Linked DNA regions of Drosophila melanogaster. Changing the gene in region 1 together with any one later gene gives a genetic interaction. Each region holds a gene or a part of one and is shown in the gene's direction. Other genes may lie near its edges.

Evidence for each region. A genetic interaction does not mean that the proteins touch.
Region 2: of Alg9 (region 1) and grnd, changing one suppresses a phenotype caused by changing the other (phenotypic suppression), as found in Drosophila melanogaster (one study listed by BioGRID).

What each region holds. Positions count from the first base shown.
Region 1 is NT_033777.3:25,219,821-25,224,660, forward strand, and holds Alg9 (ALG9, alpha-1,2-mannosyltransferase), read left to right. Parts: upstream 1-1,768; 5' UTR 1,769-1,881; coding exon 1,882-2,039; intron 2,040-2,097; coding exon 2,098-2,460; intron 2,461-2,514; coding exon 2,515-2,992; intron 2,993-3,047; coding exon 3,048-3,920; 3' UTR 3,921-4,298; downstream 4,299-4,840. Other genes in the region: CG31103 (uncharacterized protein), read left to right, coding at 1-64, 126-247, 308-722, 792-918, 979-1,262, 1,318-1,445, 1,507-1,553; Cad96Cb (cadherin 96Cb), read right to left, coding at 4,563-4,798. UniProt on the Drosophila melanogaster protein: Probable alpha-1,2-mannosyltransferase involved in the N-glycosylation pathway. Probably involved in glycosylation of the TNF receptor grnd, regulating its ligand affinity. Required for normal epithelial growth and architecture.
Region 2 is NT_033779.5:18,483,691-18,488,556, forward strand, and holds grnd (grindelwald), read left to right. Parts: upstream 1-1,726; 5' UTR 1,727-2,277; coding exon 2,278-2,512; intron 2,513-2,935; coding exon 2,936-3,244; intron 3,245-3,326; coding exon 3,327-3,508; 3' UTR 3,509-4,331; downstream 4,332-4,866. Other genes in the region: CG10283 (uncharacterized protein), read right to left, coding at 204-279; kon (kon-tiki), read right to left, coding at 4,384-4,866. UniProt on the Drosophila melanogaster protein: Acts as a receptor for TNF-cytokine egr. Plays a role in activation of JNK signaling and is required for egr-induced apoptosis, including in wing imaginal discs during development. May also play an egr-independent role in cell proliferation.

The sequences.
Region 1 (4,840 bases):
TCGTTCTGATGTTTGTTACCAGCGTCTGGCTATTTAACATTATAAACCTTCTCGTTGGAATTAGGTGAGTACGAGCGCTAAAACGTAATTTATTGCAAAAGTTTTTGATTGTCATATGAATACAGTGTTGGCGCGGTGTCAGCAGCACTCTATGCATATCTAAGTGAATTCAATATACCACGACATCGCGCCGTGGCAATTAACTATTCGACGATGTTCGTCAGTGTTACGGCCATATATGTTCCAGGTATGCATGATTACTTATGGATGCAATTGATTTACTAACTAACTTCTTTTGAACTTACAGCAACTGCTTGGTTGGTACTTTCCTCGAACTGGGCCATCACCATGGGAGATTTTGTGTTTAGGCCATGGCGTTTGCTATTGCTAGTTAGTCTGCTACCAGGATTTATTGGCGGCTTGATATTACTCTATTATCCTGAAAGCCCCAAGTTCCTGCTGTCCCAAGAAAAGAACAACGAAGCCATAGAAGCTGTGGCTTGGATCAGTAAATTTAACAGAGGAAAATCCATACAACAAGTTTTGAGCTGCGATGAATTTACACTGAAGTCCGAGGATCCAGTGGGCGAAAACTTGTTGGGCGAAAGCCAGGGATGTGGTATATTATCCAAAATTTGCAGGGCCACTATTCCACTTTTCCACAAGCCACATGGATTTAATTTTATTCTTTGCAACTTGGCATTATTCGGAATGTTTTTCAGGTAATCTTAAATGGTGTTAGACCTTAATAGTTCTTTAATAAATAATCTTTTACATAATCTTTTACATAGTTCAAACGGCATGCAGCTTTGGTTTCCCGAAATTGTTAATCGGTCATCAGGTGCCGAAAATAACTCTTCAACAGTATGCGAAATTCTCAGCGTACCCGTAGAACAACCCAATGTTACAGAAACTTTGGTAATTATGAACATATTTTAAAATTACGTAACCAATCTTAATACTTAATTTTAATTTTAGGACTGCACCGATCCTATTAGTAGCAAAACCTATATTGACAACCTCGTTGTAGGTTTCGCATTTCTGATTGGATTCTCGATTCAAGGACTAATACTTAATCCTTTGGGCCGTAAAAACGTACTTTTAGCTGCTCTGGCAGTTGCAACTTTAAGTGGAGTCCTATTGCATTTTATGGAAAGTCCAACAGGAGTCCTTGTTCTCTTTTGCCTTTACATTCTTCTGCCTGGGCTTTCGATTTCTATTATGATTGGCGCCATTGTTGATTTGGTCCCTACACATTTGAGGTAAATGATCTACACTTCTATTAATATTGAAATAATTATTCACTTTTCCGATCAGATCCAAGGCAGTTAGCTTCTGCATGTCACTGGGAAGACTTGGGATCATTGCAGCTACAAACTTGATGGGAGTTATGCTGCAGCCTTATTGCAACACCACTTTTGCTATGTTTACGTGCACGTTAATTGGTAAGTATTGTAATTCTACCAATGGAAGAACTTTAACTACCTCAAGTTTCTTTCATTTCAGTGTGCATTGTTATCGTTCATTACCTACCAATTCGGAACTCAGCTTAATGAATTGTTCATTTTTGTATTTGTATATTTTTCTTCTTTAATGTTTCTTATTAAATTTTTACACCAATATTAAAACTGTTGTCTTTTTAAATTACAATGGTGACACACATCCAGTTCAAAAAGCCGTTACTATACTCACGTCTACACATATATCGATAACAAATCTGAGTTGGTGTATAGGGCACATTACTAGGGACAAGAATACCCCAACTGAAATGCAGGTTTCCACGATAGCTTTGATGCAATCGATAACCTGCGCCACATAATATTGATAATATACAATACTTTGCAACTTTTCCGCCGGTAATTTTCTCAGAAAGTCCGGATTATGGCGCCTCCGGCTGCTCGCGCTCGCTACATAGCCAACAAGGCGGACAACCAGATTCTCTCAAAGAAACCGCCCAAAAGACCGGGCCTAAATGGCAACAACAAGACGAAGGAAGCCACACCGGCCGGCAAAAAAAAGGATAAGGATGCTAAAAAGCGGTAAGTATTGGCCTATGTACCCTGACTCCCACTAAACGCCGTTACTTCTCACCCGCAGCAACCAACCCACAAGTGGTGGTCAAGAGAAGGGGCTTCCCAACCCCATAATGCCCAGTGTTCAGACCGCCTTCAAGACCTTCGTGAGCGCCCGGTTGTGCAGCGCCATTTGGGCGTACATAGCCGACTGCGACGAGACGTTCAACTACTGGGAGCCGCTGCACTACATCATTAATGGCCATGGACTCCAGACGTGGGAGTACAGCCCGCAGTTTGGACTCCGATCGTACACCTACCTATTGCTGCAGGGCGTGCCCGGATACTTTTACCAAAAGTTGTTCAATCCCAGTCCCATACTCATCTTCTACATGGTGCGATGTATGTTGGGTTTCGGTTGTGCCGTAATGGAGCGATATATGTACAAGTAAGCATGGCATTGGTACTAAATCCTGTTCAAAACTAACTAAACTTTATTTAGGTCGATTTGTCAAGAGTTTGGAATTCACATCGGTCGTCTGTGGCTGATATTCCAGCTCTTCAGTGTGGGCATGTTTGTGTCTAGCACCGCTCTACTGCCATCCTCCTTTTCCATGTACTTTGGCTGTGCTGCCCTGGCCGCGTGGTGGCAACAAAATTACTGTTTTGCCATATTCCTGACAGCAATATCCGCTTTGCTTGGTTGGCCATTTGCTGCGCTTATTGGCATACCGCTGGTGCTGGAGATGCTTTTAAGGCAGCGTGATTGGAAGACCTTTGTTCAGTGGACACTGATATCGGGCGCCACGGTTGCCATTCCCATGATTGCAATTGATACCAGCTATTTTGGCAAACTGACATTTGCTCCTCTAAATATTGTTTGGTACAATGTGTTCACCAGTCACGGACCAAACATATTTGGTACGGAACCACTCAGTTACTACATTATCAATGGTTTCCTTAACTTTAATATTATTTGGGTGAGCTATTGTATCTATTACACTCTTAAATTTATGATAACTTTTTCCCTTATAGCTCCTGGCACTTCAACTACCCATAATGCTGGTCATAGACTATTTGATTGTGCCAGCCAAATCAAAGTCGACGTTAAATTTCCCCCACTACATCTCGCTGGCTCCCCTGTACCTGTGGCTTCTCGTCTTTTTTGCCCAACCGCACAAGGAAGAGCGCTTTCTGTTTCCCATATATCCTTTAATCTCGCTTTGCGGAGCCATCACTGTGGATGTGTATCAGCGCATATTCTTCCGTATGAAATCGGTGGTCTTCAAAATTAAGGCGGGAGTTCATTATCTGGACCACAGCATGTTTATTGCCATCTTGGTAATGGTGACCAGCACATTGTTGGGACTTTCCAGGGTGTTTGCCCTGTATAGGAACTACCATGCTCCGATGGATTTGATGCTGGAACTGAACCAGTTTAAGGCGACACCGCAGTACGACCCGGATGTAATATACAACGTGTGTATTGGCAAAGATTGGCATCGATATCCGGGCAGCTTCTTCTTTCCCGCCAAAAACTTCCGGCTGCGTTTTCTGAAATCCGAATTCCGAGGCATGCTGCCCGCGTACTATGACGAAGGTCAAAATGCTACTAAGGTAGTGCAACCGTATTTTAACGATCTCAACCAGGAAAATGAGCACATGTACTTTGACTACGACCGTTGCGATTTCCTCGTCGACTTTGATGAAGGCAAGTATACGGCTCTGGAACCCAATTATTCAAAACGATCCAAAGATTGGTCGGTGATGAAGAGTCTGCCCTTCCTCATTCCGGAGAAGTCGCACAAAGTGTTACGTGCCTTCTATGTGCCATTCCTGACCGACAATCACATTCAGTACGGAGACTTTAATCTGCTCAAGCGAAAGACGAAACGAAATGGCAGGTAAAGGCAGGCCCAGATAGAAAGAGTCTGGATTCATGCCACAAAAACTCCAATGCATATGGGGTGGCTCTCTTATTCTTTCAAAACAAAAAAAACGCATTAATCTTAAAGTAATGCCAAGCAAATATGCTTAAGAAACTATAGCTTCAATTCATATTGAATTTATAGTGATTTCCAAGTATCTTACACCCCTGAGAGCCTCTGTCTGTATTCCAAATAATCTTTCGTACCCAGCATTGAATTTGTAATATCCTAATATCTGTTCTAAGTCAGTGAAGCGTTTTTAATTCACGTTATTTTCGTTTTGTCCATGCCAAAGTTGTGAAGATCACCAGAATCGAAGTAGAACATAAGCGTCAAGAATATAAACAACGAGATTCGTATGGTAAACTGTTTGCATGGAAGGGGCCAACGTGATTGAATAGTTGAAAACTTTATTGGACGGATCCTCTTACAATCTGGGAAGCAAAACTTTACAATGGAAATCGCTTGGACTTAGCCTAGATCTGGTGCTGGGTCTGTTTACAATGCTATATTTGGTCTACTCAATGTACATACACGTGTGCGGGGCCTAAACCTAATCCTAAACTGACTTAGCAGCGATATTTACAAGCTCTCCGGGAGTAGCTGCCTCCCCTCCTGCGCTCTAGAAGTAGACCGTCAAGTTGTTCTCAGAGGAACCCATGGCATCGGTGGCGGATAGAAGATTGGAGCCCGCGTTGGCGGGTGTGGTACTGATGGTGGTAACCCCACCGCTTGCCACTCCCGTGGCTGCCACTTTCCGATTGTTGTTCTCCGTCTGCAGTGAGTCGTGCTCGATCTCATCCTCCTCGAAGAGCTGGCCATTGGCGGAGGCGCGCGAAACTATGCCTGGCAAGAAGACTTTTAATAGTGAATGTTTCGGGTGAGAATGGGGGAACGGAA
Region 2 (4,866 bases), on another chromosome or scaffold:
GAAGAGGAATTTTAAAAGACCTCAAATTAATCACTTCTATGTGGTGCTCATGCCCCCCCCGCCCCAATTCCAAAGCCCCTTCATCTCAATAGCTACACTCAAACCCAATCAATTTCCAATTATCCAAGGCCCCGTACGAAATTGTTCATGTTCAACCAATTTCGAAATGGTTTGCTTCGGTTCGGTTCTTAACCCATGCTTACCCTCATTAACATGTCCTGATCGGGGCAGCGCTTCCTTTGGTGGTGCGGCTGCTGTTGTGGTTGTGAAATTATTCATCTCTCTCCTCCTCTCGCCACCCTTCTCTTTCTAACAGGCTCTGGCTGTCTCTTTCGGTGGCTCAAATCTCTATAGAATATCTGTATCTCGTTCTAAAACAGGTGTTTAAATTGGGTAGCTCAAGGACGCGCCTTCCACTCCACTGATTTTTAATTTATGTTGGTTTACTTGTTGAAGCGGGCTGGCAAAATAGATACATAGATGCGGCGATACAGAGCGTGAGTAAACTATATTTTCATCTAATTGCGTCGCTCTCGGTGCAACTATTTCACTTTCACACTTCCACACGAGATATAATGCTTATAATTCCACAATTTCCACCATCAACACGCGCGCAACAACGACAGCTGCAATTCAAAATTCGATTTGATTTAGGTATTGTATCCCAAAGATACGCAACGAACCGGCGGCCGTCGTTCCACGAAAGCAGCAAAACAGCTCATTCAACAGCGAAAGCCGCTCAGCGAATGGATGTTGTTTGACTTGGCCATACAGTCCAGCTAACTGGAAGACACAATAATACTGCAAGCGGCGCTGGAACTGGAAGCCGATACAAATGTATCTCGAAAGCGGCACTGCAATGGAAGAGAGAATAAGAGAGAGGAGAGAGAATAACTCAAAACAGTGCTGCCAAGTTTCAAAAAGATTTCAAATCTAAATACAAAAAGTTATAATTTTACTATTGATTTATAAATTCATTAAACGGTATATATGTACATATGGTTTTTTATTATTATTTAATTTTCCAAAATGAGTTGGGAGCAACGAATTTCAGTATTTCTTTTATTTATGTATATGGCATTTGCTGTTTAGTAAAGACATACACCATTGCGTTAGCTAAGCGAGGTTTCAATCCTCAACAAATGCTACACTTAAAAAATTCCAAAATCATATTTAATTAGATAAAAATTGTGTAGCTAGAAACTTGTTTATAAATATCACGACTGCTAGTTAGTTGTGAAAGTAAGGTATTATAATTAAAATTTAAATAATAGGTAATGTTGTAAAAAAAACTTTAAACGTATAGTTCATATTGGGATACTGGGAATTTCAATAAAAGTTATCTTAAACATATTGTCGTTTATTCATATAAAACTTTATTATTATTTTAATTGATAACTTGGGTAATAAAGTGAGTGAGCAAGTAGTCTCTATAAAATACTTCTTGAGGCACTACCTTCTCGTTGTTATTTATTTTTATAAGTCAAATCGCAGCCGAAATTTAAGAAACTGAAGCCGGGTTCAAAGTATGCCGAAGTCGGGAGTATTTCACTCATAGCGCAAAATAAACAGTCGATCGCAGACACACAAATACTTGTATTACTTGCCACAGCATAGATATACAGATACTTTTGCATCTACAATCGACGTGAAAAAGGTAAACAAAAGTCAAGTCACGGTGCGAATGAGTGTGTATTTGAGATAGATGCCTCGGTGCGAGTGCTGAGTTGTTGGTAACAGCGAGCGATCGCGGCATTCCAGTCAGTAACGAGTTGAATGTGGCTCAAAACGCGTCGCTGAACGATGGCTAAAAACGTTTAAAGTTAAAAAGCGTATTAAATCATATAATATATAATATATTGGTGTAAAAAATACAGAATTAAACCTAATAATTAAGTGTCCGGACATCCCCTAGAAAAATGTGTGAAAATGTTGAGAAACTAACCGGAATACTATGAAAACTGCTGTAAAACTTGGCTAAGATAAACTCGTTTGCACCAATACACATGTGATTATACGTATAAGGGCAACGCAAAATACTCAGACTCCAGAAGCCAGCAATTAAAAAAGAAGTTAGTCAGTTAGCGTCTGGGCCGCGTTACTGGTGTATGAATCATACTTTGGATACGTTTAAAAATAACAAAACAAAAACCTTAAAACGAGGAAAAAGTTGTAACAGTGCTAATGTAAACTTCGATCAAACTTAGCGGAACGAGCTCGCTACAAAACCAAATACCCATAACAAGTAAATTAAGCACACATTATAAAATACCTCAAATGTCGGTCAGGAAGTTGAGTGCCCTATCGCTCTCCATTGGTGGAGTTCCGTTGATTCCAAGTGTTTCCTTGGTAGCTGCGGCCAATGGAGAGAGTAGGGATTGCCATGGCACGATCTGTCATCCGGTCAATGAATTTTGCTATGTTGCAACGGAGAGATGTCATCCGTGCATCGAGGTCTGCAATAATCAAACCCACAACTACGATGCGTTTCTGTGCGCCAAGGAATGTTCAGGCAAGTAGAATTCAAAGATTTCCAAAAGATTACCTCAGATTAACTCACGATCCATAGGGTAATTTGGCGGGTTCTATGCAAGTTCAGGTTTTTCCAGCTGGACTTAATTGTATTTCAATTACAGTTGCTTCAGCGGGTGATTAACTCATCACCCATGAGTTGACTAAAATAGGGGGTATTTTAAAGATTTAAAGAATGTACATTTTTATAATAAAAATGATTTGTTGAAACTAGCTTTATAATAATTTTTTTAGTGTAAAAGATTTGTAAAAGTTGTAATGGCAAGATAAGGCCAGTTGCATTTGCAATTTTTATCTGACTATGTACAACGAGTTATCAAAAACGTTCCCGTGTTTTATCAATTATTATTTACTTAAAACGATAATAGTAGCGATATTATTTAATTTCTTTATCAACCCACAGCTTACAAGACATTTGAGCCGTTAAAAGCCGAGATGCTGGACATCCAGAATACCCAGCAGCTGATCCTCTTGCTGCTGACTATCCTTCTCGTCCTGATTGCGCTTCGTTGCGCGTTTCAGTTCCTTCGATGGCTGATAGGCAATCGGTGCTTCCAGAAGCTGATGCGCCGTCTCCAATCGAAGGCCTACCCTCATCCGGCAACTGCAAATGGAAAGGATCTTAATGCTACCACCATACAGAATCTGAATGCCATTAACCATCCCGGCAGCGACCTTGAGCGGGCACAATCACAGATCTACAGTGTGGCAGGTAAGTGTAAGGATCTACCTGTCCGGGTTTTTCCAATAACACTTCCCAATGTACACATTATACCTGCAATGATTTATTACAGGTGCTGCCGAGGGTTCCGTTGTGACTATGACAACGCCGGTGAGCACTCGCTATCCGGCGGAAAACAGTACCACGCCCACAACGGTTATGACGGAGATCGGATACGGATACGATAATCAGGCCATGGTCGTAACGCCGGTTTCCGAGAAACCCTCAGCAGCGACGATTCCCGTCGCTTTCTAAGGCCATACAAGTACTTGAAAACTCTTACTTCTAAATCAGTCCAGCGAAAGCAAAATGTGCACCACATTAAAACTAGTGATATTTTTCATAGTTATTAAGCAAGAAGTCTTCTATCAATATGGAATATATACGCATATCTGTAGAATATAAACCTTAATTAATAGGTTTATATATGTTGGGACATATTTTTGATAACCCAATGTGGCCCTGAAAACTTATATTCGATCTGTATGAAATTATATGTAAAGGAACTTTTTTCTCTTTACTTTAATATTTTCCTTAAAGCAACGAAAATACTTACAACATCACAACTATGAACGAAGAGACATATTTATAACTGTTAAGAAATATATTTATAATGTTCAATTTATTATCATGTTAAGTTTTTTATGTGGAAAAGTTTTGTAAATGGTAATATGGGGGAAAACCAATTCATTCGCAATCACCACAAACGTTTCTCAACACACTTCCATCCGGTTAAAATAATTACGAATGCGAAATAAATCTTCCTGAAAATTTTTTGAGTTTTGAAATAAGACACGGGAACTACGCTTAAAAGTATTGTCATTTATTGTAAAAAGTATTCCACGTTGGCAAACACAATTCTAAGGCTAAGTTAAGTTGGCTTTTTGAGTATAACTCTTGTTCTCGTCCTTAATGCTAATCGTTTGTATATGACACGCCAGATATGTATGTGTGCTTGTTTCCAAACTATAATTAATGTTTTCGTATATAAAATGCTTCACTTTTCCTAACGAATCTCATAAATCAGCCTTAAACGTAAGCTTATATTTAAATAAATAACCTAGGACTAATTCCGATCGAATTGGAAACGCTTGTATTGATCCCTTTATTGCAGAACATCCTTCTAAACCTTACACCCAATACTGATTCCGCCTAAGTAGTGGATTTGTTGGCGGGGCCGAGGGCGGTGAGCTGACCGATCCGGAAATACTTTGTGGCACAGAGGCATAGCCAGCAAAATCATTCGCCATATCGCAGGACGAACTCCAGGCGTCGTGCTCCATGTGATAAGGATTATATCTCTGCGGCAGCATCATTTGCTGCGGATCGCACTGATCGTCCGTCTCCTCCTCATCGGGATCGTAGTCGGGATACTCATGTTTGTACGACTCCACGGGTATTATCTTGCAATGGGGAATATTGCTGAAACCCGGTAACGGTGTTGAATTTCCTGTGGCCGGCACGGAATCCGCCTCGGAACTTGCGTAATGGTGGCCATGATGATGGTGCAGATGGTGTTGCGGACTCACAGAAGTCAAGTCTGGTGGACACGGTAGCGCCGGCGGCTGATCCTTGGATATATCTGCCTTGTGCTTTCTCAGTTTCCTGATCTT